Oryzias latipes: one gene and its partner. The protein of the gene in region 2 purifies or fractionates together with the protein of the main gene of each other region. This does not show direct contact. Links are inferred from orthologs where the notes say so. Each region holds a gene or a part of one and is shown on either strand. Other genes may lie near its edges.

Region 1 (4,515 bases), on a different chromosome or scaffold from region 2:
TAATTGGCTGGACACACCTGAACCAGGTAATCAGTCATGAGTAGGGCAAGATTATTGGCTGGACACACCTGAACCAGGTAATCAGCCATGAGTAGGGAAAGGCTATCTTGAAATCATGCAGACACACCGGCCCTCGAGGCCTGGAATTGCCCACCCCTGTGGTAGAAAATGCCTCACTTCCAGCCCCAACCAAAAGAAGTCAATTCAGTCGCCTTTTTTTTTTTGCATAACGGATGCCGCCACGTTGAAACCAAAGGACGTCAGAGTGGTAGGACCGAATCGATCAAAGTCATCATTTCTATGGCAACCACTCTCGCCAATCAGGAGTGAGCTTGTGGAAGTCCACACCCCTAGCACTTTAAAGCCGGCTCGGGAGAATCTGTCAAACGTTTTGAACGTTCAATGTCAGGACACATGCTTTTATTGAGGCACCTGATTGGTCGGTTTATAACTTGAATAAATTGAATCATAGAAGAAATATCAGAGGGAAAAAATTTGGATTATGAAGAACATATTAAAAAGGTATCAGAGCAATAATGGTCATCCTGACACATAGAATGACTGAGTAAGAGTTGTTTATTTATCGATGGAAGTCTTTGGCTTCTTGGAGCCAGCGGGTCCTTCCTATTAGGAACGCGAGGGGGGGGGGGGGGGGGGGCGGAGTCACTCAGTCCAGCTCTCATCTACAGTCAATGGGAGTGCTCTCTCTTGTCTGTATAAAGACAAGTTTTTCTCACATTGTGGAAGTTCCGCAACTTCAGAGACTCCAGATCCATCGCAATTTCCTCCTCATCCTCATCTTCCTCCTGAAGTCACAATTAGAAAACAATCTTTTAAAAAATCAAATACAAGAATGAAAAACAAAAAGGACACCAGTTTTTGCAAAAGCGGCGTTGAAATAAGCTGTCAGCATTTTTCTCTGTGAAGTGCTGACCAATATTTCCTCCTCTGCTGTGCTGAGTGTGACTTCTGCATCGTCCTCCAGCATCGACTCTTCCTCCGGGGTTTCTGACGGGTAATCTGGCCTAAAGGGGAGGAGGGAGAAGAACACTTCATCTCAAACTGGAGCAGCCAGTGAGGCCTCGCTGTTGTCAAATCTGTAAAGTCCCACCACAGTGATCTATCTGATGTACTGTAAAAGTGTCCCCCAGTGTTTTTTTAATTATGATGGTGCAGATTTTAGCCAAAATTAAAAAAAAAAAAGTGTCCTTTACTAGGATATCGTTTCTGCAGAGCAGCAACAGTTCATTAGAAATACACCTTTAAGTTGTGGGGGGGACTATTGGGGCAGAGAAAGCCTGTCCTCATTTCCCATCATCCCTTTGTTTTACACTCTCTTCCACTAGCTTACAGTCCCTCACATCCCCAACCTAACATCACCGGTACAACAAAATATGGGGAGCCATATTGCAGCTTCAGGAAGGTCATTTTATGCTTTACTTTCTTCATATAGGTCTTCTATAATGAGAAAAATGCCACAAAACATTAAAAACACCACAAACACAATTTTAATCGGAGATCTTTAAGGTGTGGCGGCCTGAACTTAACCAAACTGACTTCTGACCACAACCGGTATTGTTGGGACCCAAGAAGAAAGACACTCCAACCTTGCAGCTGTAAAACTGCTTCATTCATTCCAGTCTTGAACTGGCTCCAGTACCAGCCTAGAACCCGTGTCTGGCCCAAAAGATGTCCCAGCGTAAAGCAGAGCAGAAGCACCTTTTGAAGGAGAAGTTTCTCCTCTTCAAAGCCTCGTCGGCCAGTCGGTCCAACACCAAGCAGACGTGCTCGCCTGAGCCCGTCTTCAATTTGGAGGGAGGGAAGTCCACCTTTACGCCCTGAAACCCACCAGGGTCACAGTCAGAGGTCGTCCTCACACATCTGAGATCAGAGTCTAAGTCACACAGAAAGGGACATATTGGATCATCTGCATGTGAAACAGCAGCTCACAAAGGCTCTCAGCTCCGCCAGGATGTTGGACACGGTGGCGTTGGGCTCGTCGTGCTCCCGGGGTTCGGTGAACGGCCTCCCTGCCACGTTGATGAGCCAGGCAGCGATGATGGTGAACATGTAAAACTGCTCACCCGGATTGGAGGACAGGTGGGAGTTGGAGACAAAGTAGTGCCTGGGAAGAGAAGGAAGAAGATACATGAATCACAAGATCAGATCATGTTTGAAATGAAACACATTTAGGAAGACAACTTCAATAATAAGCAGTCTGGAAAGATGTATTACACTTTAGGCATTTATTTGTAGACTTACTGCTATTTTCTTAAGTGTATTTAAAATTGATTTAAAATTGTATAAAAATAAAGATTTAGTGCTCGGGAAAAGTACAAAATGTGATCAAAGCTGTTTTCAACTTTTGTCTTTGTTTTTTTCATTTAACACAATCGACGGTCCAGCTCAGGTTCTGTTCTATTAGCTCTGTTCCGGCAGATATCATCACTGCTTCTTATCGTGTTCTGCTTCAAAACGTCGTCTTCAGGGAGCTGAAATTCAGCTTAAACCCGTCATTTGGCTCGTTTCGTTCCTGACCTGCACACTTTCTTCATGTTGTGTTTGTCCAGAAGCTCCTCGTAGTTCAGAGCGTCGAGCTTTTCTAACAGTCCCTCCATCACCGACACCATCCGGTGAGCGGCTCCCGGGCCCCGCTCATCCTCCTCTGCCATGAGCCCAGCTACTTTTCAAACCGCTTTAAAATCCACTAAAAAAATAAATGTTTTCTGGGGCCTTGTTTGTTCGATTAGCACACGCTGCTCTGCTAGCTCAGGTTGACTGTAGGCCCGTTGCCTAGCAACCGAAAGCTAAGTAGCCCTTTTCTTAACACGTATTTCTTTTTCCTCCCTTTAAACTTTAAATATGCGCATTGAGAATTTGCTCAACAGCAACAAAACAACATTCAAACTGTCTGGAAAACAGAATGGGTGTGACCAAGTTCGAGGGCTCCGTCCTTAGCATAAGAAACTTGGTAGATTTGTTTGCTAACTTGAGTTTGATCTCTTCTTCTGCTAGAATATAGAGTCAAACATCGCCCCCTAGAGGGCGGGAGAGGGACCTGAATATTGGGACTGGGATTTTGTTCTTAAAATGAAAATATCCTTTTTGCATTTACTGAGGCATTTGTACACAAATACACCATGCAAGAAATTCTACTGTTATTTTGATTGTACTATCTTAATCTCAGATTAAAAAAGAAGGTAATTTATGTCCAACAGTGCATGGAGCCATCTAAAAGGCTTAAAGTTAAAGTGCATCATCTTTCTGTTATTCTAAAGTGAAAGGAGCAAAATGAAAATACAAATGTTTAACAACCTGCTGATAGTGGGGAAAAAAAATTCCAAAAAAACCCGTTAAAACTACTTCATTTTTTTTAGGTATGTAGAAGGAACTTAAAATGTAAGGTATTTTGAAACTGAAGGGTCAGCTGTAAATTTACAAGGACATTGGAATTAAGATATTTTCAGATTAAATTGATTTTTTCTTTAATGTTTTATGATGCTGCTCAGGCATTATTATTAAATACGTTTTTTGGGTTTTTTTTTTGCCAACAGGGTGTCTGTGTTTTTCTTTCCTTATAATTTTGACCAATACTGTCATAATTTTGGGTACATATTTTTTGGACAAACTTTTTTATTTTCACATTTATTTTGAAGATTTCTTTTAGAAAAAGGTTGACGGGGTGCATAATCATTACAGTATAACACCCATCATTGTGCTTGTTTCTTTTTTAATACACTTATTGACAAAAAGAAAAAAGGTACGAAAGCAAAATTAAATGGAATTCTTTTTTTTAAAGGAAGCAAAATCTCTACATATAGATAAAAGATAATAAACAGATAATGTCACCTTTAAACTTTGATTAAATTCCTTTACAATTAAATGCATATGGTTTTTTTTTTTTTGGGGGGGGGGGGGGGGGTGTTTCGTTTTTGCACAGAACCTCATAATCTAATTAAATTCCAAAACAATTCCCCAAAAAAGTTTTTCCTATAATGGATTGTGGGTGTTTGTCAGTTTGCCAATAAGTTTGTAAGGAGTTCAAACCTTTAACTTCGGTGTTTTTAAGTAGAAACACATTTGTTCATCATACAGCGTTTAACTTGCAGAACTTTATTGACACAGTAAGATGAGTAACACTTGTCACGGAGAGCGTCTCTGCGTCAGGCTGAAGAGGCCCGACGTCCTTTCAGTGAGACGTTTCTCAAATGGAAAAGTCTCTTCATGTCTTTCCTCCTTTTAAAAACATCTTCTGCATCTGGAGACAAAATGTAGGAAATAATCCTCTGAAGAGGTACAAACAGTAATAGCTTTAGTGTTCACGCGTGACAGAACACGCGAGCGAACGCAGGAGTGGAGGAGGCGTCCTGCCGCTGCTCCCACTTCCATCTGCTTCAAAGCACAGCTCTGAACCTGTAGATGCTCACTGCAGTAGTTCTGAGAGAAAGATCTGACATTTAAAACAAAAGGACACTTTCACAGTCGGGGGGGGGGGACTTCAGAACATGCAGGGGA
Region 2 (3,819 bases):
GCTCCAGTAACCCAAAAAAAGGAATGAAATGGATTTGGTCAATAAAGGAATGAACTGGTCAAATGAGAGTGCTCAAAGGTCTTCCAACACTGATGACAAACAGCTCTAATCACAACCTGCAGGAAACAGCAACGACAAACCCTGTCTGGGGTCATAAATTTGATACAACTTTGACCACAAAACACATTTTTAAAATAAAAAAAAACGCTGTTTCTGTTCCATTATCTCTGCTAGACAACACGCTTCCCCAGCTGCTAGTTATGTTTGTGGCTGTTGCTTAAAACTCTTCCATGCATCAGCTTCTATATGCTGGGAAGTAGCTGTAAATAACAAGCGGGATTCTGGGAAAAGCCACAGTGTCACCAAGCTTTTACCAGAAGTTGAAAGAGGAGGGGCCAAGGGAAAAAAATACTCAGTGTAAAAAAAAAGAAGAAAAAATCAGTTGAAACAGGTAACTTTTTTTATTTATACTGTTTCTACAACATTGTCAATTTATTCAGAATTGAAGTGCCACCTCTTGTTAAGCAAAGAGCGTTGATCTTTGTCCTCAGTGTGAAGGAGTGCGTACGTTTAGATGGTCTTACAGCAAGGTCACACAGTGAGGTCTGGGGGTGGGGGGTTAATCCGGTAAATGCTGTCACGAGGCTAATTACAGGCTAATTAAAGCCTGCTGTTGTGGTTCTATAAACCTGTCGACTACCTTCTCATGGCTCGGTTAGCCTGTTTCACATACATCCAAGCAGATGTCTGAGACGCACAAAATGCAAGACTTGTTCTATAAAATAGGAGAAATGGGCTACTCACTTTGACTAACCGGCACAAACACAGTGCATCCTCCCAGCGTGCAGAGCTGCAGTATTCATGCAGCAGTGCAATGTATGGCGGCACACTGCTGTACACCAGTGAACCGTCGCCCTGGCGCAATGTCACTTTGGTGCCTGAAAAGTTCAGAATGCGGGGCGCACTGTTGAACTCACTGCACAGAGACACACAGAAAACATACACAGATGTGAAATGTTGAAACATGAAACCTTCACCTCACTTTTGGGTCACAGAAACACAGTTTTCAGGCTGCTTTTTCCTGAATTAGAAGTCAGAAGAGGTCAAATTATATTTGTATACAATCTGCTTCATTGGATTTGAAGGAAAGGAAATTAGTCTTTAGCAATCCCTGATTCTTTAAATCCTTTTAATACTAATAAATATACTAAACTTAGGTAGCTGAACGATCTAAAAACAATCTTACAATTATACGTGTTTAGTATTTTAAACCATAGAAAAAGTCTAGGGTTTAAATCCTAGAGCAGCAGAGGTGCCGAGGTAGAATAGTCAACCTTTGATTGACAGATTGCAGGTTTGATTTCTTCCCTGCCTGCTCATGTGTTGAAGTATCCTTGGGCAAAACACTGAACCCCAGATTGCTCCTAGTGGTTAAACTTTGGCACCAGTGTTGGGCAGCGGAGCCGCCATCAGTGTGTAAATGCGTGAATATTCCTCAATGCTTTATAAGTATACACCAAGTACCTTTACCGAAAAATGAGAAGGACATGGTATTGTAGAATTGTCTAGTAAAACTATGTATCATATTTTAAAGACTTAGTTATTGCAAAAACATAAAGGCACCAACTAAAGTTTTACTAATAACTGGCTAACAAAAGATATAACATCATGTTAAAATATAATATCATGTTTTGAATGTCTTTACTGAAAAAGTAACCAAATTATAGTTATTTAATAAGTAGAGGTATGCAGATAATCAGTATTATATTTGACTTTAAATTTACAATAGCAAGTGATGAAATTATTAAAAGTTTACTTGAAAATTATTTTTTTTTTATATTTGAAAGCTGGTTTAAAAACTAAAGTACTCTCAGATTTTGATCCATCATGCAGTATCACCTGACACACACCTGGTTTCACATGGCTTTATTCCTTTTTCAAAAACAAAAAAATTCTAGCAATGATGGCAGATTCTGACGAATGCAGTACAAACATAATCAAACACAATGGAAACCTGATCATCGAGGCAGTAACAGATCATCCTGGCAAAGAACATCCTGGCATGTCTTCCAGTAAGACTACTTAGAGAAGTTATAAGAGATTTTGGATAAAAAGGATTTAGGCTGTGCAGAGGAATAAAGTCGATTGTATCAAACATTGACCCTCAAGGTTTTTTAAAATTGAACAGCATTTTTTTTTCATCTATCTGTATTTTCTTGTATGTCTTGCAATTAACTCCTGTATCTGGTAAAGATCTCTGGTAGTAAGAAATGAAAACTGGCTGAGGACTTTTGCATTTTACTTCATAACATTCATTACACGTGTTCATACATACAGGAAGAGATTTTTGGCTCCAAAAAAATATAAAATTTGATGAAGGTTTTGTGATTTACTATACATGCAGTGAATATTATTACCATCATTTTTTTTAGCTTCTTAACATGAATAAAATATTATTGGTAATAGTTAAAAATTCATAAGTTAAAACATGTTTTTCAAAAACTATTAAACATGTTTCTAAAAGTAATAACTAACAACCTAATTAGCTCTTTCTAGTGAATAATTGATGCTTTTCAAAGCAGCCTTAAAAATCAAGCAAAGCTTATAACATTTAAAAGTGCTTTAAGTGTCAAGTTGGGAATTTATTAATATACACAAGTATTAGTATTTTACATTTAGAAAAAAAAAGATTAAAACTTTATTAACATAACTAGCAGTGAGCCCTTAAAGAACAATTACAATGTAAGTAAGAAGGAATCATCCATTAACAAAAAAACAGTTACACCACACCCACCTGTTACATTTAATATAGATTTACCTGCTGTCTCGTATGTGCAGCGTTTTAGGTAGAAGTTCCTTATCCGTGAAGACAACACTTGGGTAACACCACACAGTCAGCTGATTGTCTTGAATTCCACAAAGGATGTTCGCAGCATCATTCCATGCTATATTGTCCACCATAGTGCCTATAAAAAAATGTAAAGACATCCGTATTTAAAAACGGAGACTACCACTACAGATTTTTCCAGGTGGAATCCTTTGCCCCCCCCTTATGACTCACCGATTTTGCAGATTTTGGTTTCTCGCCCAAAATGACGCACAGAGGCCAAGTAAAGGTCGCGGTTTTTATCTATCAGTGCAATTTTCCTGTCAGTGGCTGGGCCACACTGATCCAGAGCTATTTCCACCACCTCCAGCTGCACACAAAAAAAAAGAGAGAGACACACACACAAAAGTAACAAGGTAAGAAGGACGTGAGGAGAAAATGATGGAGTGTGGACAAACAGTCAGGAAAAGAAATAAAGGGAGAAACCGTTTGCAGAGTAAGCCGACAACCTGCCAAGTTTTAGTGTGTGTACGAAAAACAGAGAGACAAGGTATGGCAATGTGTGTTAGTGAACCTGTGTGTGTTTTTGACTTGTGCTCGCTGGCTTTGGTACAATACCTTAAAGCTTTTGAGTCTTGGCAGACAAAGATTGCTGACAAACACCAACTTGCTGCTACCTCTACATCTTTTTCGCGCTGCTATAATTCCATGTCACTTGCTTTTTGTACACTGAAAACCTTTTATACATTTTTCTGAATGTGTCTGTTATCTTTCTTCAGCTGTGAACTTCCTGCAAACATGATTTAATATTCCTTTGAATTACAACATTTTACTTTTGACCCTCGTGCTGGGATTTAGTTGCCCCAAGATCGAAAAAAAGTGTATATTACTAAAACAAAAACACAATTATCACTTTCAACTGTTGTTTTTGGAATTTTTACAAATACCTGTAAGAAAAACAAAACAAAGAAAATAAAAATGAGTAAAAATGT

The links.
Region 1: the proteins of ift80 (region 2) and ift57 purify together in Homo sapiens (affinity purification with mass spectrometry; 3 studies listed by BioGRID and IntAct, counting the BioPlex papers as one, with this or other methods). This does not show direct contact. The link is inferred for Oryzias latipes from reciprocal best matches to the Homo sapiens genes IFT80 and IFT57.

The regions. Positions count from the first base shown.
Region 1 is NC_019875.2:10,101,572-10,106,086, forward strand, and holds the start of ift57 (intraflagellar transport protein 57 homolog), read right to left. Parts: upstream 3,050-4,515; 5' UTR 2,673-3,049; coding exon 2,539-2,672; intron 2,126-2,538; coding exon 1,951-2,125; intron 1,839-1,950; coding exon 1,720-1,838; intron 1,026-1,719; coding exon 935-1,025; intron 807-934; coding exon 738-806; intron 1-737. UniProt on the Homo sapiens protein: Required for the formation of cilia. Plays an indirect role in sonic hedgehog signaling, cilia being required for all activity of the hedgehog pathway.
Region 2 is NC_019871.2:13,452,701-13,456,519, forward strand, and holds part of ift80 (intraflagellar transport protein 80 homolog), read right to left. Parts: intron 3,198-3,819; coding exon 3,062-3,197; intron 2,967-3,061; coding exon 2,819-2,966; intron 977-2,818; coding exon 805-976; intron 1-804.